4 linked regions of the Drosophila melanogaster genome follow. The protein of the gene in region 3 purifies or fractionates together with the protein of the main gene of each other region. This does not show direct contact. Each region holds a gene or a part of one and is shown on either strand. Other genes may lie near its edges.

Region 1 (6,931 bases), on a different chromosome or scaffold from region 3:
CTGGACGTGGACATCCTGATCACGGGGCACACGTACAAGTTCGAGGCCTACGAGCACGGCAACAAATTCTACATCAATCCGGGATCGGCCACGGGTGCCTTCAACCCACTGGACACCAATGTGGTGCCTTCGTTCGTGCTGATGGACATTCAGAGCACCACGGTGGTCACGTACGTGTACCAACTGATCGGCGACGAGGTCAAAGTGGAGCGCATCGAGTACAAGAAGATCTAGGGTCCTAGTATTAGCCACCAGCCATTCCCCTCCAATCCAACCCTTGACCCCTGCATTCTGAGCTCGGCTTCATTAAAGAAATTGTAAATGTACGTAGCAATAAATCAAGTTCTCATTTTTTTATCTGATAAAAAATGCTAGCACCTTGTTTAAATAGAGAATAAAAGTACGAACGGACGAAAGTGAAGTTTTAGATTTAATGCAATAATAAACGATTACAAAGTAAGGAAAAACACCCCCAGAAATTGTGATACTCCCACAATAATCTGATAAAAAAGTTTAAATTTTATTAAATAGAATATAAAAAGGAGTTACATCTGATGATCGAGTAAAGAGTCTGCTCAAAAGTTCGGATTTCATGCTCAGTTTCTCATTGCAACACACTCTCGATATAAATACATTGGGTTCGGTTTGTGGCCATCGCTTTTCCATCGAAATAAATTATATAAATACTTTCCACGAGCCAGGACAGCAATGTTTGGCAACATCATCAATACGAAATGTTTGATCTAAAAATCTTTGAATTACGAAAACTTTGCACTTAGATTAAATACAATTATGATTGCTGCTGACGACAGTTGGAAAAGCAACGAACAGGATCCCCGAGGAGGAGAACCGCCTTAGCCGAGGCTGTCCACGCACACAGTCTTCAGGGTCTTGCCGGCAATCGTGGTCTTATACTGCTCCGGTAAAGCCAACTCGGTCTGGAAATCACAAAAAAAATAAATAAATGACTGAAGACAAGAGACAAATTTTTGAACTCACATAATCGCCGCTGTCGTCGGGCAACAGGATGTTCATCTCCGAGGACTTGGAGTTGACGATCTCCACGCCCAGCGAGTCCTTGGACAGATACATCTGGCAGCCGTCGGTCTTGTCGATCGATACCGTCGGCACCGAGCCGAGCACCTGCATCTGCACGCTCTGGCAGTTGACGAACTCCACGGAGGCCACCACGGAATCGAACAGCAGGGAGCACTTCTTGCAGGAGTCGAAGACGATGTTGTTCACCTTGCCCTTGACGGTCAGAGTGGATCCCTCACACTTGAACACATACACCACGTTGTTCATCTCGGCGTTCTCCACCAACAGCCCGGTGTTGTTCTTCTGGTACTCGATGATCCACTTCTTTCCGTCGCGCTCGAAAACGGGCGCCTTGGCTTGCGCAGCTGATGGAGCAGCAACGGCCTTGCTGCCGCCCGACTGGGCTGGCGATTTGAACGGAGCCGGTCCAGTGCGTAGAGATGGATTTTTATGGGTCTGCATGTCGCCAGTGACCTTCTTCAAGCCTGCGGGTTTATCAAAAGATACATTTTCTTACTATAGGAGCACTTAACCATTTTTGCAGTTGCTGCTCACCCTTGGTGATGTCGGCACCCTGGTTGATCTGGGCGAAGAGGGCGCTGCGATCATCTCCGGCGCTATCCAGCTTGAGGGCACTCAGATCCAGCATGGGCGGCGGTGGGGGCAGACCACCGGGTGGCGGTGGTGGCGGGGCACCTCCGGCGGGGGCCGCTCCCTTGCCGGACCACACCAAGCCCGTGGTGTGGTACTGCCGGATGTAGGCCTGCAGTTCGGTGAGCGTCTGCACCCAGGCGCGGGCCCACTCCACATGCGTAACATCCTTCTCCTTCCACTCCTTGAGCACGCGGTTCGTGTAGAACTGGCCGGCGTCGTTCATCTCCTTGACATAGGGACCCGGGGTCTTCTCCACGCACACCCAGCCCAAGGCGGGAATGCTTTCGCTGATGGCCGACAGGTGGTTGAAGAAGGGCGAGGAGCGGTGCTTCTCGCGGAAGTCCTGGATGGCGCTGATCTGCGTCGAGGTCGGCTTCAGAAGCTCCGCCTGCTTGGGCTGCGCCGGCTGGGCGATCTGGGTGGCCAGCGTCACGTACTGCAGTTGGGAGCTGTTGCGGAATTGAACGATGGCATTATTACACTTTTACCATAGATGACTCATCCAGACTGACTCACCCAAAGGCGCTCTTCACGAGCTCCGCATGCTGCGCCACATCGCCGCCAATTTTGGCGGAGAGAGTTAGGTATTGGCTCAGCGGACCCGCCACAATGTCCTCGAATCCGGCGACACTCATGTTGCTGCTGGGCGGCGAGGGAGGTGGAGGTGGTGTCTCTGCTTTTTCAAAAACTGGAAGAGCTTCTTCTTCTTCGGCTGGCGGAGGCGGGAGTGTGGGCGTGGGCAGTTCTATCGGCTGTGGCGCTGTTAGAGTCCGTTCCAATCGGTCGACGAGGGTCTCCAGTCGCTCGCAAATGCTCTCCAAGTGGTCGACGGCGGCCGAGGGCTTGGCTTCCGGCTCGTTATCTGAACCAAAATGACGCGGAGGAGAACGGCAAATGTTTAGTTCGTTTTGGCAATTATCTCGAATTATTCAAATAACACTGAGTTTTATAAAGAAAATAACTTGAGTGAGATGATGCTTCAGCGTGATAAACCCCAGTGAATCGTGCACTCACAATACCTGACAAAAAAGGCGATATAAACTAAGGCGTCTCGAGAGGAATACCTCATCACGAGCTTGTGTATGATGATGAACTGGTGCGCTTAATACTTATAAAGTTCAATATGCAAAAAGAGCTAATCCCAACGAGTGAAAGTAATAATCCACATGCAAAAACGGCACAAGACAACGAAAAATCATAAGAGAGAAGAACTAAGTTGAACCTTTAAACGGAAGCACTTGACTTGCGAACTTATTGGCCATCAGGAAGTTACGTGAATCGCTAGACTCTCAAAACTTCTTCACAGCGAAAACGAACACATAAAGAACACAGAAAGTCAAGCATCCGCTTAAATAACTGCTGAGATCGAAAAAAAAAAGCAAAAGAATCGGACTCTATCGAAGCTCGCATACCCCGCACGGCCACGCTATGCTCCACAGCCGCATGGGCGGCCCGCAGGAGCTCCGTGTAGAGACGCTGGCGCTTCAGCTCCAGCTCGTCGCGTCCCACCGGCGTGACCGGGGGCTCGATGCAGCCGCTGGACATGGAACGAGGACAGAGGAGACGATGTACTGGCAATTCAAAGCGGGGCTGGGAATGCAGGGGTCGACCTGTTCTGGTTTCAGCTTAACTATATGGATATTTTGGGCGTGAAACCAAAACAGGATCTTGGGTAAGCATACATGTCGTTCAGGCGCTCGTCGTCGAACCACGAGGGTAATCCGTGGGCAAAGAAGAGTGTTTCCGAGACGACATCCCCCTCGATGTAGGGTGCACACATGCTCTCCCGCTTGGGTGGCGGCAGTGAGTCGGAGAACACCTCGTCGTCGTCCAGCAAGGAGCCCTGATTCTGGCTGGCCAGCAGGAGCAGTGGCAGTGGATCCGGCTCGATGATCTCCGCCCGGTTGCTGATATTCACCTTCTTCTTGATCGACTGATGCGTTGAGTTGTGCCTGGACAGGCAGCTCTTGGTGGGCGGCGGCTGAGGAGGCGGTGTGGTCGGCGTGACCGTCGCCACCACCACCACTTCGTCCGCCTCCTCCGCGTCGCCGCTGGTCATCGAAGCAGGTGGTGCCGTGGATGTGGAAGAGTGCGTTGAGCGGGCCAGTGGCTCCGGTTCTTTGGGTGCTAGTGCTGGATTTGCTGGTGATGATTTGCTAGCCGCTTCAGCCTGAGTTGGTTGGGCTGTGGAAGTGTTGCTTAAGATTACTCTACATGAAGCGACGAATTACCAAGACGATCATCAAGGAAAGCGCCGATACTTAAGTTGATTACTTCACTTCACTCTCTGCTCACCTCGCTTCCTGTCTTCATTATGTTTATTTATCGCATTTAAAAGCATTTACCATGGTCACTGGCAGATTGAGTAGTTAGTTTTTACTGCTCACCTTATTATTATAGAATCTATAGAATCTTGAATTTTCTGTCTAAATTATTGACCTTCATTTTAGTTTCTATATTCGTCACTACTATATACTATACGTTCACTTTGATGGATGAGCACGATCTAAGTGCTCAACAAAAAGTGTGTATGCAATGTCATTAGCTATTCCTCATTAATCAACTGAGAATCGGCGCAATTCCTTGATATTCATATGTATAAAATTCACAGAAATAAACCGAAGAGAAAGCACAGTGAAGACAACTCATAAGTAAATAGAAAAGGACACTCAAGGCAGCTTGAAGTGCCCGGATTGAAATGAAAGGAAAGATCAGAAGTGGTGGTCAGCTGCAGTGGCATTGCAGTGAGTGAGAGCCGGCCGGATAGGGGCCTTCGTTCCGGAGAGCAGACAAAAGCCGAGACAGCTGTTGAGCTCGAAGGCCGGAGAACGCGAATAGATGGGGTGGTGGGTAAATACTTAGCGTTGCGTCAGTACCAGTGTTTGGCTGGGTGCTTGTGGGCACATCCTCGGGATTATGCGCTTCCAAGAGCTCCTTTTCTGGTTTCACAGGCTCTGGCTCCTCCTTCGGAGTTCCTGGCTTGCCGTTCAGCTGGGGTTCCTCCTTTTCGGTGACCTGTCCGCCGTTCTCCTCCTCTGCGTTCCGCTTTTCCTTCTCCTTCTTGCCCGCCTTGGGGTTCGATCGGCAGCAGGAGAACATTTTGCAGGCGTGTGGCTGGGCTTTTCCGGTGCTCAACACTCTAGGTACGAATCAAGCACATTATGTAAGTTCCGTGGCTCGACTGCGGATGCCCGTGAAGCTCAAGCGGCGGTCACAACACTGACGGCACACCAAACCAAATCGAATCAGTAGAAGCAGTAACAGCAGCAGCCATATAAGACACTCAACGGGTTTCCAACGAACGTGGCCACTCCTTGCTCACTGTGTACATATATTCAGTGTATGGCCCAAATTTAGTGGCACATTAATAAGGTCCTCCGAGTTGTCCGCGCCTTCAACTGGGTCAAGTGACTGCCGACCAAGCACAGAACCAAATGGCACACAAATGCGATTACACACGGAGAACAGAACACACCCTAAACGAAGCGCACGCCCACGCACTCGGGGATTCGATTCGATTTCGAACTCGAACTCGAAGGTCTCAACAGGACTCTGTTAGGAGAGCTCCGCGCTGTTAACTGCTGAGTTTCGCCGCCTTGTTGGGCTACTCCGCGCTGCTTTTGACCATTTGGGGCCAGCCACCGACTGGCAATGAAATGTGTTTCATTAATAACCGCTTTTGGCCTGACATGCAGGATTTTGTGCAAGCTCCGGCGATGTCTTGCACTTTTGCAGCAGAGAAAGCTTACGGTCCAGGCGGAAAATGGAAAACTCTCCGAGAGAGTTGCGCAGACACCACTGTGATTTCGTGATACCCTTCTCGCCACGGGTGGCGCGACTTAAGTGAGGGAAAACCACGGCGATCCCATAGTTTTATCAGCCCTGTAAGGCAGGGTTCGCCTATCAATTAGTTGTGACAACACCGAGTTATCTTTACTATTTGGAAAGTTTCCAGGAATGATCGGTAATGAAACTATGATTCCATTTTGAGCATTACCATAACGTTTGTAAGCCATAGAGAGTAGAGAGATGCAATGATCATATCTTAGCCGGCTATAAAAACAGTTTTAAAATGTTCAGCTTTTTGTGAAGTAATCTGCCGCAGAAGAGTATAAAAACGTCGACGTAACTGAAACTCCCATATCGTTTGCTTGCCAGTTTTTGTTTTGGCCTTAGTGCAATGGGTTTATTGCACCGGCAACGTTGTTTTTGTTTTTAAGTAGCTTTAAACAAATGGCTGGCAATTAGAGTGGGAAATGCATCAGTAGCCGTTGGATTGGAGGGAGGGGCTAAGCCGCCGAGGACAAGTAAGCCGAGATTCAACTTTCGCCTGGCGATACTAGTTCTCCTTGCAGTCTTGATGCGTTTTCTGCGGCAGATGCGTTTGTTGCGTGCAGAAAGCAAAGAAGAAATGGGGAAGAAAAACTAGAAACCAAGATTAAATGTCTGCAGCTGAGGAACCGTTATTCCCGCTGCGAGAGTGTGAGTGAGCTCGAATTACCAGGGGTGGGGGGTGTTCGTAATGGTAGAAGAAAAATCGCCCACCTTATAAGGCGAGGTGTTATTTTCTTCCACCGAAATCGAGTGAGTGGTAATATCTGCCGATTTTCAATCGCGATTCGCTGATAAAAGCGTTTTGGCCAACTTTTTGACTCATTCGCGCACGAATACAAGCAAACGTGTTTGCTCTTGCGTAAACTACATACATGCATACATACATATGCATATCAACTATGTGTCTGTGAGTCAGCGAAACAAAAACAAAAAATGGCCACAACAGCTGAGTAGTTACTTTTTTTTATCGGGGGTTAACAATCGCAATGGGAGCTGCTAAGGGTTAATTTGCATACACTTGCTGGCAATGAATTAGTTGTGTCTTTATGCCATGGAATCGGATATGAAATCATCGTTAAAAATACACCATGTAGATTTAATTTTACAAGCAACATGAATCACACAAAAATAGCCATCACACAGCTGTCTCTTGTCTTTTTGGCTCTCTTCGCTGTTGTTGTTGTTGTGTGTGTACAAACACCCACAGCCTGCATCACACACACACGCTCAAATTCGTGACAGCACCACCCACCCCTCACCAATAACCGTTAATTCCGCAGACACTTTCAGCCGGCGAACGGGAGAAGAGAATTTGCGAATAATAGCAAAGCCCCGTTTAAATGAACGTTTTTAGCAACAATCAGGCGTTACTCACCTTCTTTTGCTGCTGATGAATTTGCAAGGA
Region 2 (4,056 bases), on a different chromosome or scaffold from region 3:
TGAGTTCTGCGAACAGACCAGCATTATTCACGCCCTGCGCATGCAGGGCCAGGAGTTCAAGGGTGGCCATCTAAGCGTCTACCACTCCACGTATTCCATAACCAAGCCGGAGGCAAAGTCGAATGAGGCAGCGCAGGCTGAGATTGAGGAGGCCATGACCATTGTGAAAGAGGCGCAGAGTATGATCTCAGCGGCCATTGATCCGGTAATTGGAATGCTCGCTAAGGACAAGCGCCGCAGGTCGAGATCACGGTCCCGTTCCCGGGACCGTCGCACCAGTCGATCCCGCTCGCATCGTTCCACATCGAGACGCCGTTCCAGGCGTTCCGGTTCCAGAGAGCGACGTAGTGTGTCCCGATCACGCCGCTCTAGGTCGCGTGGCAAGCACTCGTCCCGTTCTCGCAGCAAGCGCTCAAGATCACGACACCGTCGCAGCTCCTCACGTTCCAGGAGATCACGCTCCCGTGGCGGCAAGCACTCTCGCTCCTCAAGGTCGCGTGGCAAGCGCTCCAGGTCCCGCCATCGCCGCAGCACCTCACGCTCACGTAGCTCGCGTTCCCATGGCACCGGTGGAGGAGGCAGTGGCAACGGCAAACGTTCCCGATCCCGCGAGCGCAGCAAGAAGTCACACCGCAGCGAGAAGCACTCTTCACGTTCTCCCCGATCTAGAAGCAAGCGCAGCTCTCCCTCGCCGCCGCCAGCTACCGGCAGTAAGTCACGGTCCAGTCGCAGCAAGGATCCGGTCATCGTTTCCGCCAAGTCATCCCGGCGGCGCGACCGCTCCCGTACTCCCGAAACTCGCAAACTCAAATCCATCTCTGAGGACACTGAGGTTAAGAGCTCACGATCCAGCGCCGATTCGAAGTCACGCAAATCGGTTAGTGTCGAGAAGTCGGACAACATGGACATCTCCAACTCGCCCTAGACCTAGAGAGATTGCATACTACTTTATAATAAATACAGAACTTAAGCAACCCCGTCTCCAGTACAACCCGACACCCATTGTCCTCAATGAGATTTGTATTTCACTCAACTCTGTCATAGTTTTCAAGTATAAAGTCTAATTAAAACTGAAGCATTTTCTTTCGTAATGAAAAAAATAGTACATACAAATATGAATGATATCGGTATCATAGCAGTACAATTTTTTTTAATTTTTTGCCAAGTACGGATTGTTTATTTGGAAACTATAACAATCTTATTGTCTTCTTATTAGGAAAACCCAATACAAATGCAAGTTAAATTAATAAAAAACTTTCTAATGAAGACCAACTTTAAAACATTGTATGATCAACATTTTGTAAGGAGTACTTAAGTATGCAAAATTGCTTTGATAAATATACATTAAGAACGCATTAAAGAGACTTGTATTTAAAAACTAGAGGATTGATTGAGTTTCATCAAAAATCGAAATTCAGCGATGGTGACTAATCGTCACTAAGAACAAAGGAAGGAACAAACTGCAGCTAATTTTGCACAGTGTATTCTACAGCTGTAATCGGTGGGCTTGTCTCACTTTGTTTGTCAGAGAGCGGGGTAAAGCTTTTCGAGCTTTCATCCAATAATATGTCGGCGATGGCGGCGAATCGCGACCAGAAGTCGAAAGTTATTGCAGTGCGATAGTCGCCTTTACTTGCATTAATTTATTTGTTGTTTTATTTAAGAGTGAACCCACCTTAGAAAATGTCTGCCGCAACCAAAGGTAATTATGTGAATCCTTTAGGATATGCCTATGCTGTTGGAAGTCTAGATAAGAGATGATCTCGCTAGAGAGATCTGAACTTTGGACTCGTTGGTGTCTTATCTGATGCTATCCCCCCCCCCCGCGTCCAGCCGGTTGCACTTTGGACCTGTTGAATCGAAAACAAAAATCCGCCTTCGTTCGAGCTAAATTTGTGCTATCACTACGCACATTATATATGTTATACATATGTTCGTATGTTTCTTCTCCTTTGTAAAGGTATCTATATTGTGGCTGCCAAGCGTACGGCCTTCGGAACCTTCGGTGGATCCTTGAAGGGCATCAACCAGACCCAATTGCAAACCACGGCGGCCAAGGCTGCCCTGGATGCTGCCGGTCTTAAGGGTGAGCAAGTGGACACCGTCATCGTGGGAAATGTGATCGCGGTAAGTTGGATTGAAGATCCTAAAATAGAAACTCTTAAGGCGTCGGATTAAAACAATATTAAGATGTTATTAAACTAAAAGAAATATGTAAATGTGATAAAATACTTGTACATCTGGTTATGTAAATTAATTTACTCGATATTTATTTGTTATTATTGCTTAATTGCAAACTCAGTAGATCAAAAACTGGAACTACATGCTTATATTATGTTTTTTTGTAACTTGTAAGTCTTAAAAATCTCTTCTCTTCCACTTCGCAGTCCTCCTCCACCGATGGTATTTATGTGCCCCGTCATGTGGGTCTCAACTGCGGTGTGCCCATCGAGAAGCCCGCCCTTGGAATCAACCGGCTTTGCGGTTCCGGCTTCCAGTCGATCGTAAACGGAGCCCAGGACATCCTGGTCGGCGGTGCCAAGATAGCCCTTACCGGCGGCGTGGAGAACATGTCACAGAGCCCTTTCATTGCCCGTAATGTGAGATTCGGAACCACCTTGGGTGCCAGCTACAATCTGGAGGATGCTCTATGGGCTGGCCTCACCGATACCTACTGCAAGCTGCCCATGGCTCTGACCGCTGAGAACCTGGCCGATCAGTACAAGATCAGTAGGGAGCGTGTGGATGAGTTCTCTCTGCTCTCGCAAAAGAACTGGGAGAAGGGTCAGAAGGAGGGAGCATTCAATGCCGAGATCACACCCATCAAACTTAAGGTCAAGGGAAAGGAAGTGGACTTTGTGGTGGACGAGCACCCACGTCCCAAGACCACCATCGAGGGTCTGAACAAGCTGCCTTCGCTGTTTAAGAAGAACGGCGTTGTGACTGCCGGAACAGCATCCGGAATCTGTGATGGTGCCTCCGCAGTGATCGTGGCCTCCGAGGAGGCGCTTAAGGAGTACAACCTGAAGCCTCTGGCCCGTCTAGTGGCCTTCTCCTTTGTCGGAGTCAAGCCTGAGATCATGGGCATTGGCCCAGTACCCGCCATTCAGAACGTCCTGAAGGTTTCCGGCAAGAAACTGGAGGATATTGATCTGATTGAGATCAACGAAGCCTTTGCTGCCCAGACATTGGCTTGCGCCGATGCCCTGAAGTTGGATACCTCCAAACTGAATGTGAACGGAGGCGCCATCGCCTTGGGCCATCCTCTGGGTGCCAGTGGCTCTCGCATCACTGGTCATCTGGTTCATGAGTTGCAGTAAGTTTCCGTGGAAATTTACAACCTGTCATAAATTGATAATTATATATTTTTTCCAGGCGCAAGAAGCTAAAGTACGGCATTGGATCCGCGTGCATTGGTGGTGGTCAGGGCATCGCCCTTCTCCTCGAGGCTGTCTAATCCTACAGCTTAATGTAATAGGTGCCCTGCATTTACACTTAAATTAGTGCTGAAAATTCCGTTTTAAAAATACCCCGATAGCAATAAAGAAATTATTTTATCTTTACAATTTATTCAATCAGCAGCGAATGGAAGTTGATCAGCTTTCTACAAGAAAGACAAGTTGGTGTTTATACTATAAAATTTCTATGCTCGCACTGCTGGAAACGCCAATGGGACGGGGGTTGGCGGATGAAGGACCAGCCCGCTGTACCAGGAAATCTCTTGAAGGGCCTTACATTACGAGTACATGAACATGGGATGACATGGCTGCACATTCGCTCAGTTCGTCTGTGCGCTGGTGGAGAAGAGCGACAGAGCGCCGCTGGCGATGCCCACGGAAAAGATGTAGTTGATGAACGGCGTCGAGTTCTTCAGGATAAAGAAGCTGATGAAAATGATAACGGCCAGGTAGATGGCGTTGTTGTAGAAGATGGAGAAGGTGGTGGCCTCGTAGTCGGCTACCTCGTTCTTCTTCCACAGGATGCGCTCGTCCTTTTCCTTGCGCGTGACCTTCTTGTCATCGCCCACCTGACGGTTGACCTCGCGGGTCACCGCCT
Region 3 (7,994 bases):
GCATAGCAAATCCAGAGATAAACCAAAGCAAAACCACAGCAAACTAAAAACAAACCAAAGCAAGTCTAAAGCAAACCAAAGGCAAACGCAATGAAATCGTCCAGCCATTTTAAAGGCATGCTTAACATGTAATAAGTAATATAGTAAATAAGTAATATAATATGTAAATAAGGTATATAGTTCGGCTTAACTATTTTTATTAAAGATATTTTATTTCCATGATGTAAGGTTCAAATCAATGAAGCAATTAACAATCTTAGAGGGAATGGTAATATTGGAAGTAAGTAGTAACTGGGGGAATTCCTGTAGGCGGTAAATGAATGTAGCCAGATCACGACTGGTCCCCTAATCCTTGAGGATCTCGTTAACGGCGTTGACGACGTGACGTGCGGAGATGCCGAACATATCGATGAGTACCGACGGAGGACCCGAACGTGGCACGGTGGGCACGTACAAGTGCTTGACAACGAAGTTGCGCTCGCCAGCCAGGGCACTCAGCACAGCTTCACCCAGGCCTCCTTGCCTATAAGAAATTAAGTAAATTTCAAGTTAGCAAAGGAGGCAAATAAAAAGACTACAAAGAACACTTACTGGTAGTGATCCTCCACGACGACTACGCGTCCTCCGCACTGCTTGCCGTGCTCGATGATCAGCTCGGCGTCCAATGGCTTCACGGTGAACGGATCGATCACACGGACGGTGATGCAGTTCTTCTCCAGCTGATCGGCGGCAGCCAGGCACTCGTACAAAGTGATTCCAGCTCCGATCAGAAGCACCTCGTCGGAGCTCTTTTGGCGCACCACCTTGCCGCGGCCAATGGTGAAGGGTTCCTCGTTGTCGTAGATCACACAGGTGTTGGGACGGGACGTACGGATGAAGCAGACACCCTTGGTGTTGGCGGCCAGTTCGACGGCACGCTCCGTGCTCACTGCATCGGAGGGATAGAAGATGGTGCTGCCCGGAATGGTGCGGAACATGGCAATGTCCTCCAGACCCATCTGCGAAGGACCATCCTCACCGATACTGCAGCCGCAGTGGGAGCCCACAAAGTTAACGTTCGTCTGCGAGATGGCGCCCATACGGATCTGATCGAAGGCACGGGTGAAGAAGGTGGCAAAGGTGGACACAAAGGCCACAGTGCGGCGACGGCAGGCGGCTCCAACGGCCACTCCCACAAGATTCTGCTCAGCGATGAAGCACTCAATGTAGCGCTGCGGGTCGAGGTTCTTCAGCTTGTCGGAGAAAGTTGAGTTCTTGGTGTCTCCGTCTAGGGCAACAACACGCAGGTTGTTCTGGCCAATCTTGGCCAGAGCTGTTCCATAGGCCAAACGGGTGGCAATGGAATCACCCAGCTTGTAGGCGGGTGGCGAGCTCAACTTAATGTTGTTGATGTCCACGTCGGGAGCAGCACCAGTCTTGGGCACCGGCTTAGGGGTCAGCTTGACGTTCTTGTTGACAATCAGTCCCTCCAGATGCTTCACCACTTCGGCGGCCTTGTCGCCCAGTGGCTTGCCGTGCCAGTTGTCCAAATCCTCGATGTTGGGGAAGTCCCTGCCCTTGAACGTCTTTGCAATGATGGCGGTGGGCTTGTTCTTGGTGATTGCAGCACAATGGAAAGCCTTGCTCAATTCCTCGACATCATGACCATCGACAACGACGGCATTAAAGCCGAAGGCCTCCAGACGATCACGGTAAACATCCAGCTTATGCTGCAGGGAGGTGGCCTCCGACTGGCCCAAGCGGTTCACATCAAAGATCACGCAAAGGTTGTCCAGTTTATAGTGGCCGGCAAAGTGCAGCGACTCCCAGATGGAACCCTCGGCGGACTCACCATCACCCACCACCACGTAGGTGCGGTAGTCGGCCTTGTCGAAGTTCTTGCCCACATAGGCCATGCCAGCGCCGACGGCGACACCCTGTCCCAGGGATCCAGTGCCCACATCGATGAAGTTCAGACGAGGCGTCGGGTGACCCTCCAGATCGCTGTCGATCTTGCGCAGGTTGTTCAGATCCGCGATGGGGAAGAGACCAGCCTCAGCCCAGGCGGCATACAGAATGGGAGCAGCGTGTCCTTTGGACAGGATGAAGCGATCGCTGGAGGGATCGCGTGGGTGCTTCAGGTTCAGGCGCAGCTGCTGGAAGAACAGCACGGACATGATCTCAGCGATCGAGGCACATGATGTGGGATGGCTATAAAGAGGGAAAAGTAGGCAAAATATTAGATTGTGACAAGGCATTTCGTTTGCATGTAGTTCTAGGTTAAGGTAAGTGCCTAATGAATTATAGAAGTCGACCTCACGGTGGGTAAGTGAAGGCCGATCAACAAAGGAAAAGTGGAACTGAACACTGTGCATACTTGTTAAAAACGTTGTTTAATAAAAGAAATCCATTTGTCTATTGAAGCTTTTATTTAAACCCCCCCCCCCCCCTCTGTTCATATTTCAAATGAAGATTTCTCGAGTATCCAATTGCAATGTACATATAAATAAGATAAGATCCATTCTTGGAATTCAATGTTCCCATGCGATCGTGTTCCAAAAAAAATTGCTTTGAATCGCAGATCTGGCACAACTCCAACCGCAAAGAAAACACGCAACCCCAGACAAAATGGGGGGCTCGTCTTACCCCAGACATATAAATAAACTATAACGAGTACATGCATATGTATTTATTGGCGTTATATGGTGTGATATGTGTGTTTGTCGCGACGTGAGTCCATCGCAATTCCTCACCGGTTTCTGGGACCTTGAACTTTTCTGATCACCAAAAAACCTAAATAATAGCCTTAAAAACCAAATTCTTGGCTTCCACGATTGTGTTGCATGGCGATCTTTGTGAACGCACGTGCTTCTAGATAGTTCCGAAGTGCGTCCCCGTTTCCTGCAGCCATATCAAGAACTATTGAAGGTGATACGGAGTGTTAGCAGTGACCCGGCGCGCTTTTTTTTTTTTTATCAGTTTTCAGTGATTTTCGATTATCATGCGGGGAACACACTTGAGCTGGTCACCTCTAATCGGTCATATCGTGGTCAATGAGTAACCAAACCGGGCTTATCTCGTCGGCAGAGGTCACATTTAGAGCAAACAGAGCAGATCTTATCTTGAACCGTCACAAAAAAAAAAAAAAACGAAACAGAATGGAAAAACTAATGGAGGCGATAAAAGTGTTTTCCTTATCAGCATAGTAACTTTTTTATTTACTGTTGCAGTAATAATTTGATCGCGTCTATCCGAGATATAATTACATTAAAAGCCATACAGTCGTAAATCTCAAGTGTAGGGGATCATTCCATTACTATTCTCATCCCTCTCTTTCCAATTCCACTCCCGTCACAAGCTGTGCTTTCCAACACTTGTATGTACATATGTACATACGTATATTAAATGCCTCTGTTTGATATGTAAGTATGTTTGTTTTTACCCCATGTACATATGTATGTGCTTTCGGCGTTTTGAACGCCACGCACAAAACAAAAGCAAAAGAAATTAAAAGGCAGTAAGAAAAACCTAACGTTTCAAGGTTGTCTAAGGTCAAAAAATATTAGCTCACAATTTAAGGTAGGTGAACGCGGCTTATCACTGAGCACGCAGGCAGGGCAACAAATTCGCAAATTCACTAAAGCTACTGGACAACACGTGGGTTGGCAACTGAATCCCAGGAGGGGTCACTAAAGGAACCGGTCTTCCCATATTTTACTTCTCACATTCATACAAACATAGATGCATAACTATGTATATGCGTAACTATTTTTGTTTTATTTTCTTTTGTAATGTTTCAAAACACATACATATGTATGTATGTATTTAGCAGCCCCCTCAAAAACTTTTTCGCACCCACCCTGGAAATGGAGGGGGTCACCTTTGAAGCAACAAGTGCAAGGTGCACAACTTTTAAAATTCACATCTACACAAACAAATCTAAATACGCACACTTTAATATGCCTATGGACTTTCAGTTATTGATAAACTTACCCCGATTTGGAGGCCTGGGTGGCGTTGATAGAGTGAATTCGCAGTTTCTGGGCCAGATCTTTCAGATCCTGGACGGTCTTAGCTTCGGGCTTGTGGTACGACATCTTTGAAATGCGAATGTAAATTGGATCCGAACAAATGCGGTTTTTGATATGTTGCACAACAAAACTCGGGAGTTTCGGATTCGTTAGCCAAAGGGTGACTCCTCTATGTTTGCAATAGACAGACAAGAGTATCGACGTGGTGGATAAGTAGCTCGAGTCGGAGTTATCAACGGACCACTGCTGCCGGCTTCTGGGAACGAACTGCTCTCGTCGCCGGCACTTCGGTCGCTTTTACGCTGTGGGGGCTCAATCTTGGGAGCGGACTCGCAAAGTATCGGTATCGTCTATCGTCGGCGCTGGAACGAGATGGATATATGTATAAATATGGCATCTTTGCTCGCACACCACCCCTTTATCGGTGCACAGCTGTGGGTGGGTAACTAGTTAGTTTCAAATAGTGCATTGCTGCCTTTCTAAATTCATGCACAATTTTGGTCTAAAATTAAGCCATGAACAGTTGTACCTGAATATTTTCTCATTAAGATTTACAATGCTTTAGTATTTAATATAAGTTTACAAGAATTTAAGGTCCTATTTTTCTGGCCGCGAGTATTAAAGAGCAGCGGTGTTTAAGAGAAGTGCCCTCTCTTTTTGTCACTTTCCCCACCTCGCTCCTGAACAAAAGGTGAATTAGCCGCAAGCGAATTTAACCTTCGATAGCTCAGTTGGTAGAGCGGTGGACTGTAGTTGGAAAAACATGCAATAGAAATCCATAGGTCGCTGGTTCAAATCCGGCTCGAAGGATCGAAAAGATATAAATACCTTTTTTTTATATATTTTGTAGTGCACATACCTTTTTTTTTATATATTTTGTAGTGCACAATTTAAATCAATTTAATTCATCTACAGACATTCAGAATATAACTGAGCTGTTTAAACTAAATAATATAAGAAGGATTTTATTTGGAAGAAATAAACCGTAACTAAATTGATATAGTTTGTGAAAAGCGCCTAGGCTATTAGGCTTGGAAACTATAGGCTTACTGCAATGGACTGAATAGAGAAAGTTGATCAATTTTGTTTGACCTAAATAAGTAAAAATCAAAAATAAATAACCAAATACGGTGCATTTCGTTTGTGCGCATGCATAAAACGAACAACGGCCAAGTTTGAACTCAACCTTCGATAGCTCAGTTGGTAGAGCGGTGGACTGTAGTTGGAAAATTATGCAATAGAAATCCATAGGTCGCTGGTTCAAATCCGGCTCGAAGGATTTTTTGTAATTTTTTGTAATATCCAATTCGTTTTTGTTTTTATAGTAGCACCCGTACCCCATAAAAAATATATAAAATAGTATGCAATTATAAACATGTAGATGCAAAAGACATTTTATAAACACAATGTTATATAAAATGAATAATAATTTGAAGAATATCAATTTTAAAAACACGTGAAAATGAACATGTCTTACTTTACGCGTACATCAATATATTATTTAATTTTAGCTTAGCAACAATCAAAAGAAAAGGTATTTGAACGACATGGCATATGCTGTCCGTGACCTCAATCCATTAAAAGCTAAAATACGCATTAATTAAACCGATTACCAACAAAAGTTTATTGAAGAGTCGCGATGAATCGGATACCCGTTGTTTAACCTACTCCCCAGCACGCCCCCTTCGATAGCTCAGTTGGTAGAGCGGTGGACTGTAGTTGGAAAACATGCAATAGAAATCCATAGGTCGCTGGTTCAAATCCGGCTCGAAGGATTTTTTGTCGAATTTTTTACAAGCCATTTTTAATGCATTCTTGAATTCAGCTTAGTCAATCCTTTTCATTTCCACCTACCTTATCCTTATTAGCTTTTTTACCACACCTTAGCTAAGTTCGAGTAAATGTATCCACAAAAAATTTACGAGTGCAATGCGAAAGACTTTCAAATAATTTAGGATATCTACATATGTTTTGAATTATAGACTTTTGTTGGCCTAAAACCAAAAGCACAACTTGATTTTTATAATACAGATCTCTCCCCATCGTTAAAAAATCAAAACTTTCTTCGACTTGTGTTTTACTATTTAAAATTATACATTTTCATTCAATAATTTATTTATTTAATTTATTTATTTATGCGTACAAGTCGATATTTTTGTCACAAATACAAATAAATATGCAGATCCAAGTGTTAGAACGGACTTATGAATACCAACTTTTCCTTTTCCGCCTTAAAGAGTCAACCAATGCATAATTTAGTTAGCAAAATAGTTAACGTTAACAATAGTTACTTTCAAATATACATTAGTTGCACTCATTGTTCGATCGTCTTAGTGTCAACCTTTTGGTGCAACCTTTTCTACGTTAAATACGAATTTATAAAAATAGGCAATATATTTGTATTCATACACTTATGGTTGCTAATCGGTAATTAGGTCTAAACAACATTATGTCTTTGTGCACACTTTTTCGTCCAAGTACAGTGAAAGCTGCTGCGGGTGCACGGTCTGTTCGAGTTGGCAGCACATTGATCAGCTCAGCTAATTCGTAACTTTTATTTATAGTAATGTACAAGCGGGTTCCAAATAAATTACAAAATAATTGCATCAACAAAATAAAACAAATGCTCACAAGGGATGTACAAAAATGAGTTAAATCGTTTTACGACGCTAGCAAAATAAATTACAATCGAACAAATTAAATATCACTAGCTAAAAAGCGTTTAAAGAGTGTACAAAATAACGTTAATAAATTATAATACAAAATCGATGAGTGGTCGTTGATTAGCTTAGACTCAGTCCAGGGCAATGCCCTGTATCCAGGCGCTCAGATCACTGCCGTCCGACTCCATGATGATTTCGTCTGGCTCATCGCTCGCCAGCAAATGCTGCGCTGCCGTCCGTCCGCTCAAATAGGCGCCGTGTACGGTAGAGTAGAAACTGGAATGGGTGTGCTCTCCGGCAAAGACTATGGCGGGCTGGGGAAATATATTAAAATGTGAACAATTGCCGGGGAAGCAAGCTTGTAGAACTGACCTTCATGGCTTGGGGCGTGGCATAGAGGGGCTGGGCGAGGTTCTCGATGTCCTCCTGAGTTGCGCCCACCGGTATTGAGGTGTATGCGCCACCGGTGAAGTCCTGCGACTTCCAACTGGTACTACAAATAGATTTTTCTTTAATATACAACATTCTTAACCAAATAATGTTTCTTTGCCTTACCAAACACATCGCTTTGGCTTGGGCACGTAAGGATCCTGCAGAAAGTTCCTAAGTATTTCCGTACACTTTTCAGCCACTGCCTCATGGTCGAGCTTCTCCATGTACTCCGCCTCCCGGCCCGAGACCCAGCCCAAGAGCAGCGTGTCCGTCACCTTGGCAAACGAATATATCTTCTTGAACCAATTCTTGCTGAGATACGCTTCGCTGGCCAGCTCCTCCTCGGAGCTGTTCATATCCCGCTTATCGTCGTCCCACAATAGCATAATCTCTGATATATCGGCACTGAGGAATGGTCGCTCGTACTCCAAGAAGATCTTGTCCACGGTGCCGAACATGAGATTCTCGATGGACTCCTGTTTGTACTGCGGCAGCACAGGATCGAAGAGAGTGCGATGGGTGTTTTTCAGTACGCCTAGCGGTATGGTGCATATCACATGGGCTGCATGGAACACTCGACCGTCCTCGCAATCTATGCGCACGTTGCCTGCAGGATAATCACAATTGCTGCTGGTGTTGGACTCCACGGAGGCGCCACGAATTTCCCCCGTCGGCACTTCCGTCACCGTTCGTTCAGAGTCGTCTGAATGCTCGTCCTCCGAGTTCTCGTCGACTGTCTCCAGCCCAGTGAAGGTCTTTTTCCGCTTCCAGTGGATTTTCTTCACCGGGCATTTGGTCAGTATGGACTGCTTGGCTATCTGAGCACCCAGCGGTCGCAGAATAGAGCTATAACCAGTTGGCAACACTATATTGCCTCCTTGTAGCTCAG
Region 4 (5,892 bases), on a different chromosome or scaffold from region 3:
TTTAGATTGCGATTGGGCCGCTACGTAGGCGAAATAAGCGGCCAAAACCGCGACGAGGAACAAGCGCATGATCCTCCAAGAAACCGGGTGTCGGATCAATTAGATCTGGTGGCCAAATTTAAAATTTGAAACCTTTTATACTCTGATACGGGGGTCTCGTTATTATTTTGGCTATTTGCGTAGATGCTTGTCTAGCTTGCAAAATTTTATTTGACAAAGAACATTTGGTACTTCCATTGTTTCTACGAATAATACAATAACTAAGCAAATTGTATGAACTATACTATACGTCAAAGTAAATATCTTTTAAATACCTATTAAGAAACAACTGTGCAAAATATTTGTGCTCAGCTTGGATTAAACACTTGTTAGATATTTTGACTTTACGTAAATCGTTCGCTCGTGTCAAATTTATACGTCAGAGGTGCATTAACCGATTTTTTAACAATTCATTAAAAGCACACGAGAACCATTTATTTGGTCAGCCAGTTCTCCAAAAATTGAAACAATCAGGGGGAAGACGAGAACGTTATTTGTATTTTTGTTTATTCGTACGATTAAAGATAAAATGATTATGCAACAAATTATAGATTTGAACCGAGCACTGTGTCGCTTTCTAGTATTCGTCCTTCTCGAAAGGGTGGTGAGGGTGACCGTATTGGCTGTAATTATTTAAAAACAAATTTGATCAGTATATGTTATATAAACTATATTTAAGCACAAGCTAAGCGAACAATGGGTTATCTACAACTACTACTGCCTAAGCGTAGAAATGTGTTTAAATTATTAAAAGAAAGATATAAATATTGTTAGAGCACAAGCGGGGAGAGTAAAACAATAATAAAGCTAAATAAACCAAACTCAGTAAACACAAATATTAAGGAAACACGAATATGCGCTTAAAAACTTGAAAACATACGTTGAACTCATGTTCATGTTTATATAGACCAGTAAACTTTTTGATTTTTTCTTCGTAAGCGTTTCCCTTTCCAATAGGTATAATTTTTCATTCATTCGAATTCTTCTTGCTCTTCAGATATAAGTTTCTTAAGGCCTAATACTCGTCATGGAACGGATAGTACTTATGGGTACCAGCATCCCTGAATAAATACAAATAAATATGTGATTTTTTCGAGTAAAATAACCGTAAGCCCACATGTCGTTAATAATGTAAATAAATAAACATTATTTAAGGTGCTAGTAGACTTACTTGAGTAGGGGAACAAGGCGGCCGTTGCACTCGAAGCTTTCGATGATTTCGATTTCCTCAGGTGTCAGTTCGAAGTCGAAGACCTGGAAGTTGGACTCGATGCGGTCCTTGGTCACAGATTTGGGGATAACAATGTTGGCACGCTGAACCTGGTATCGAATAAGGATCTGTCCAGGGGTCTTCTTCTTCTTAGCGGCAATTTCCTTGATCTAAAAGTTTTAAAAATGCTTAAAGTTAAATTCAACATGTTGTTATCAATGCAAACCAACCTTAGCCTCCTCTAGGATGACCGGATCACCAGCCTTGGCCCATGGGCGGTTGGGAGATCCCAAGGGACTGTAGGCAGTGATTGTAATGTCCTTTGACTTGCAGAAGTCAATCAGCTTCTTCTGGGTCAGATATGGATGGCACTCAATCTGATTGGTTACTGGTGGAATAGTGGCCACCTCAAGCACGCGCTCGATCTGCCTTCTGTTGAAGTTGGAAACACCAATGGACTTGACCAGACCCTCTTCCACCAACTTCTCCATGGCCTTCCACGTGTCGACGTAATCAACCGGCGAGTACAGCGTCTTGCCATCCTTGTCGGTGGGGAACAGATCGCATCCCTCCTTGTAGCCCATGGGCCAGTGGATAAGGTACAGATCGAGGTACTTCAGCTTCAGGGAGCTCAATGTGTTCTCCAATGCCGACTTGACAAGATCCGGGCGATGGAAAGTGTTCCACAGTTTGCTGGTGATGAACAGATCCTCACTGCGAAATTGTGAAATTCAGTACATGAGATTATCCCAACAACAGTAGACCAAGACTAGAACATACCGCTTGACAACGCCCTCCTTGATCTTGGCCTCAACACCATCTCCGACCTCATCCTCGTTTTGGTATACATAGGCACAGTCAATGTGCCTGTATCCGGCATCAATGGCAACTTTGACAGCCTCGGTGACCTGACCCTTGGGGCTCTGGAAGCAAATTAGCAACATATGGTGTTAAAAAATGCAACAAATTGTAGTTATCATGTAGATTAGGCCTTTTCTAAATAACATTTATCGCACAATTCTGTTATCACAAGTTCTCTAATTGGCTTCCGCACTTTCAAGGGTTAATAAATTGTGTTGTGCTTAGAAATGGAAAGAAGCATTAATAATCATGGAACCATAGAATATTCGATGCTCTTAACGGAATTTCGCAATTCGTTATCGAGCAAAGTTTCAGTTATGAGGAGCGTGATTTGGAAATCTAAACACTAAAGTCTTCCCTATCAGACACTTGACGTCACTTATCAGCCCCCTTAGTTCCCGCATCCAAAAAAAGATTCTAATGAGATCATAAATAGGTCAGATTATTATAGTAAAATAGAATTACAAACATGAATCTTATAGTTTTAAAGGGGAACATTTTTAAGTATGTAAATTGGCCAAAGTTTATAAAATTGATTTATGTTTCACAAAGAAGAAAGGTCAAAGACTTTCATTAAGTTTTGACTTTATAACTATACATTACGGCCACTAGACATTTGTTGTTTAATTTATGGGTTGGCCACCAAGCCTCTCCTTTTTTAATCTACAAATAGTGCACGTTTACTAATTCAGATAAGCCGTTTTTAAAAATACCCTTATAATACCCTTGCTAATTAAAACCGCCCTATCAGCGTATATTTATTTTTTTTAAAAGCTTTCTCATTACGAATTGTATTCAACTTGTACGCTTGTTTTCCGTTTTTGAGGGGCTTGTCTTTCACGATTCCGATTACACCTTACTTTTGTAACACTTTAATATTAAAACTGAAGCAATCTTGTTAGTTAATCTGCCACTCTAGATAAGAGTAGAACCCCGTTACTATGTGCCCCAAATATATAAACGTTTGTGGATTACAAGTATCTGGAAATGATGTGGCACATATTGCGAAAAGTTTCCACTGCCCTAAGAAGGTAGAAAGGGTCACCTTGACGAAAGTTCATGGAGATCTTCAAATCACACATCTATTCACCATGGTGTGCAATAATTAGCATAAAGGCAGCAAAATATCGGTTATTTTTGTAATATAGCTGCTAGATTCGACGCTTTGCAGCAGATATAGCATTTAATATGTACATATGTATGTACATACAGACTGACCGGCAAAATACAGCCGGCAAACTATCAGCAAAGCGACGCTTTTTTATCCCCTATGTGTATTCTGGCATCAGTGCAAAAAGAGCTGGGCAAAAAACGGGAAATCGTGGGCAGCGGAAAACTACCCGATTGTGGGAAGCAGAACTCACAAACACAATTGCATTGATTTGCAAGTGGTATAATGTATAAAGTAGTGCAATCACTTGATATTCTACTTACGCCCCAGGTTCCCAGTCCAATGATTGGGACTTCCTTGCCGTTGTTGAATTTAACGTTCGGTACAGCCATTGTACTATATTTTCGCTTATTGTTTAAGGATATTTATAAATATTTATAATACAATTGGGAATCTTTTAACGATTGCCGCCTCTCAACAAACTGAGCGATTCCACTCAGCTGTTAACCGCTTATATACGCACCGCAAAAGCTTGTTCGAAATTCTAAAAAGCTTTCGGAGGACAGGGCTGCATAGTCGACAAGCCGAACAGCTGAGCGATCGTCAGTTACGCTTAAATATCGAGTGCTGATATACTCTCTATATAGCATAAAAGAAAATATATATTAAACTAAATCAATTAAAACATTTAATGATTTCAATAAATGATACTAAAATGTATCATTTTACATATGTTATGATCGCTATAAAATTTCAAAAGCCCTTCAACCATATAGGCTCTTTATGATCGCTATGTAAAAATTTTTATATCCATATCTTCGTAAAAATATGATTATTTATCAAAACTATGGCATAGATATGAAAAAACAGACATTGTCATAATATTTACATTGAAAGTTCCGAGCCCAATTACTGGAATCTCATTTCCGTCCAAGCAAACCACCTTGGGAGCTCTAGCATACTCCTTCTGACACCTACAATATTTGTGGAAATTATACTTTTGATGCTTTGTTCGATTTGATTTTCCTATATATTACCACATAAATCGCTCTGGTTTCCCATAATTCCTCAACGTAATGCGAAAAACAGGCCTAACCAATTGAATTTTCATTAGAGTGTTCATTTTGCACGCCAGTAAATTTTAATTATTTGTGTAGAGACTTCTTGACGGATGGAATGCAATGGCTACTTGGTTTTAGTATTGAAGCCTAAATGAAAAATAGCAAAATAAATGTGTATATAAAAATAAACAGCCACATTTTAAATACAGCTTAAAATGCCCACCAACTCAAAGGCTACAATTCGATTTTACACACAGCAAAACAGTTTAATTATATTATATTATTATATTGTATAACAATAATTATGCTAGACTTCTCAGTATAAAGGAAGTACCTGGACATCATCAGTATAACTCTGCAGATCGCCGCATACAATCTTACTTATCACATTAAAGGCAATCAGTTTAAATAACTACTTGTACTTCTAATATTAATTAATATTAATTATCTACTTTGGCTTTGGGTTCAAATGGATGATGAGGATGTCCATAGGCCCTAGGAGAAAAATAGAAAGATTCGAGATATTTCAAGTTAAAACCTAGGAAATGAAAAGAGCAACACCTACGCCTTCATGGTCATAAAACGCCCATTGCAGTCCAATTCGTTAATGGCCTGTATGTCATCGACGGCCAACTCAAAGTCCCAGATTCGCTTAAAGTTGTCCAACATGTGCTGTTTGCTTACTGATCTTGGGATGACAATTATACCCGATTGTGTCTGAAAGCGTAGGAGCACCTGTGCCGCAGTCCTTTCGTATTTCTCAGCTATAGCCAAGATGGTCGGATGCTGGAGCAGTGGATAAGCGCCGGGCTTCTCGTAGGGCGTATGTCCCGATCCCAGGCAGCTGTAGGCGGTCACAGCAATGGCATTGTCATAGCACAGCGTAATCAATGGCTTCTGACTAAGGTACGGGTGGCACTCGATTTGAAGAACTACCGGTTTAAGCTTGGCCACACTGAGAAGTCTATTCATCTGCTGCTCATTGAAGTTAGACACACCGATGGCCTGGCACAGACCCTCGTCCACCAGATTCTCCATTGCACGCCACGTGTCCACATAGTCGATGTCCTCGAATGCGGCCTTATTGGTGTCCGGACACGTGGGATATAGGTTGTCACTGCCCGACTTGTAGGCCATGGGCCAGTGCATCAGGTAGAGGTTTAGGTACTTGACTCCCAAGTTCCTTATGCTTGTCTCACATGCCGGGCGCACCAAATCCGGCTTGTGGTGTGTGTTCCAAAGTTTGCTCGTGATGAAGAGTTCATCTCTGCAGTGCAATATGTATTTATGGCTTAGATAAACGATTGATTAGGCCTGAAAGCAGCACTTACCGTGTGACCACTCCCTCGTCCATTTTCTCCCGGAGAGCAGCTCCCACTTGCGCCTCATTGCCATAGATATGAGCGCAGTCAAAATGGCGATAGCCTATATCAATAGCATCCTTTACTGCTTGGGTCACCACTTCCGGCGGGCTCTAAAATGGCGAATAAAACGTAAAAAGCTGAGGTGCATCAAAAGCTTTTGCTTGACCCCGAAGAGCTTTGACATTGACCGTGAAATATGCAGTGGAAATGCACATTTCAGCTGGCTATTATTTAATAACAATATAT

The links.
Region 1: the proteins of CG8036 (region 3) and capt purify together in Drosophila melanogaster (affinity purification with mass spectrometry, with the first as the bait; one large-scale study listed by BioGRID). This does not show direct contact.
Region 2: the proteins of CG8036 (region 3) and yip2 purify together in Drosophila melanogaster (affinity purification with mass spectrometry, with the first as the bait; one large-scale study listed by BioGRID). This does not show direct contact.
Region 4: the proteins of CG8036 (region 3) and Akr1B purify together in Drosophila melanogaster (affinity purification with mass spectrometry, with the first as the bait; one large-scale study listed by BioGRID). This does not show direct contact.

What each region holds. Positions count from the first base shown.
Region 1 is NT_033779.5:1,151,178-1,158,108, forward strand, and holds capt (capulet), read right to left. Parts: upstream 5,135-6,931; 5' UTR 4,792-5,134; coding exon 4,569-4,791; intron 3,877-4,568; coding exon 3,375-3,876; intron 3,230-3,374; coding exon 3,105-3,229; intron 2,555-3,104; coding exon 2,209-2,554; intron 2,142-2,208; coding exon 1,594-2,141; intron 1,524-1,593; coding exon 1,000-1,523; intron 939-999; coding exon 855-938; 3' UTR 501-854; downstream 1-500. Other genes in the region: Vps29 (vacuolar protein sorting 29), read left to right, coding at 1-234.
Region 2 is NT_033779.5:9,913,665-9,917,720, forward strand, and holds yip2 (yippee interacting protein 2), read left to right. Parts: upstream 1-1,588; 5' UTR 1,589-1,683; coding exon 1,684-1,702; intron 1,703-1,960; coding exon 1,961-2,127; intron 2,128-2,387; coding exon 2,388-3,316; intron 3,317-3,375; coding exon 3,376-3,457; 3' UTR 3,458-3,556; downstream 3,557-4,056. Other genes in the region: Srp54 (splicing regulatory protein 54), read left to right, coding at 1-925; CG5885 (uncharacterized protein), read right to left, coding at 3,779-4,056.
Region 3 is NT_033777.3:8,665,907-8,673,900, reverse strand, and holds CG8036 (uncharacterized protein), read right to left. Parts: upstream 6,034-7,994; 5' UTR 5,865-6,033; intron 5,786-5,864; exon of another isoform or gene 5,693-5,785; intron 5,290-5,692; exon of another isoform or gene 5,196-5,289; intron 4,821-5,195; exon of another isoform or gene 4,727-4,820; intron 4,373-4,726; 5' UTR 4,077-4,372; coding exon 3,973-4,076; intron 3,402-3,972; exon of another isoform or gene 2,996-3,401; intron 2,191-2,995; coding exon 592-2,190; intron 524-591; coding exon 346-523; 3' UTR 199-345; downstream 1-198. Other genes in the region: CG8032 (uncharacterized protein), read right to left, coding at 6,805-6,987, 7,046-7,166, 7,229-7,994.
Region 4 is NT_037436.4:11,620,004-11,625,895, forward strand, and holds Akr1B (Aldo-keto reductase 1B), read right to left. Parts: upstream 4,379-5,892; 5' UTR 4,345-4,378; coding exon 4,259-4,344; intron 4,196-4,258; coding exon 4,111-4,195; intron 3,713-4,110; exon of another isoform or gene 3,614-3,712; coding exon of another isoform or gene 3,545-3,613; intron 2,173-3,544; coding exon 2,030-2,172; intron 1,964-2,029; coding exon 1,480-1,963; intron 1,420-1,479; coding exon 1,211-1,419; intron 1,101-1,210; coding exon 1,055-1,100; 3' UTR 920-1,054; intron 663-919; coding exon of another isoform or gene 617-662; 3' UTR 532-616; downstream 1-531. Other genes in the region: Muc68Ca (mucin 68Ca), read right to left, coding at 1-69; CG6083 (uncharacterized protein), read right to left, coding at 4,723-4,777, 4,848-5,549, 5,614-5,756. UniProt on the Drosophila melanogaster protein: Catalyzes the NADPH-dependent reduction of a wide variety of carbonyl-containing compounds to their corresponding alcohols.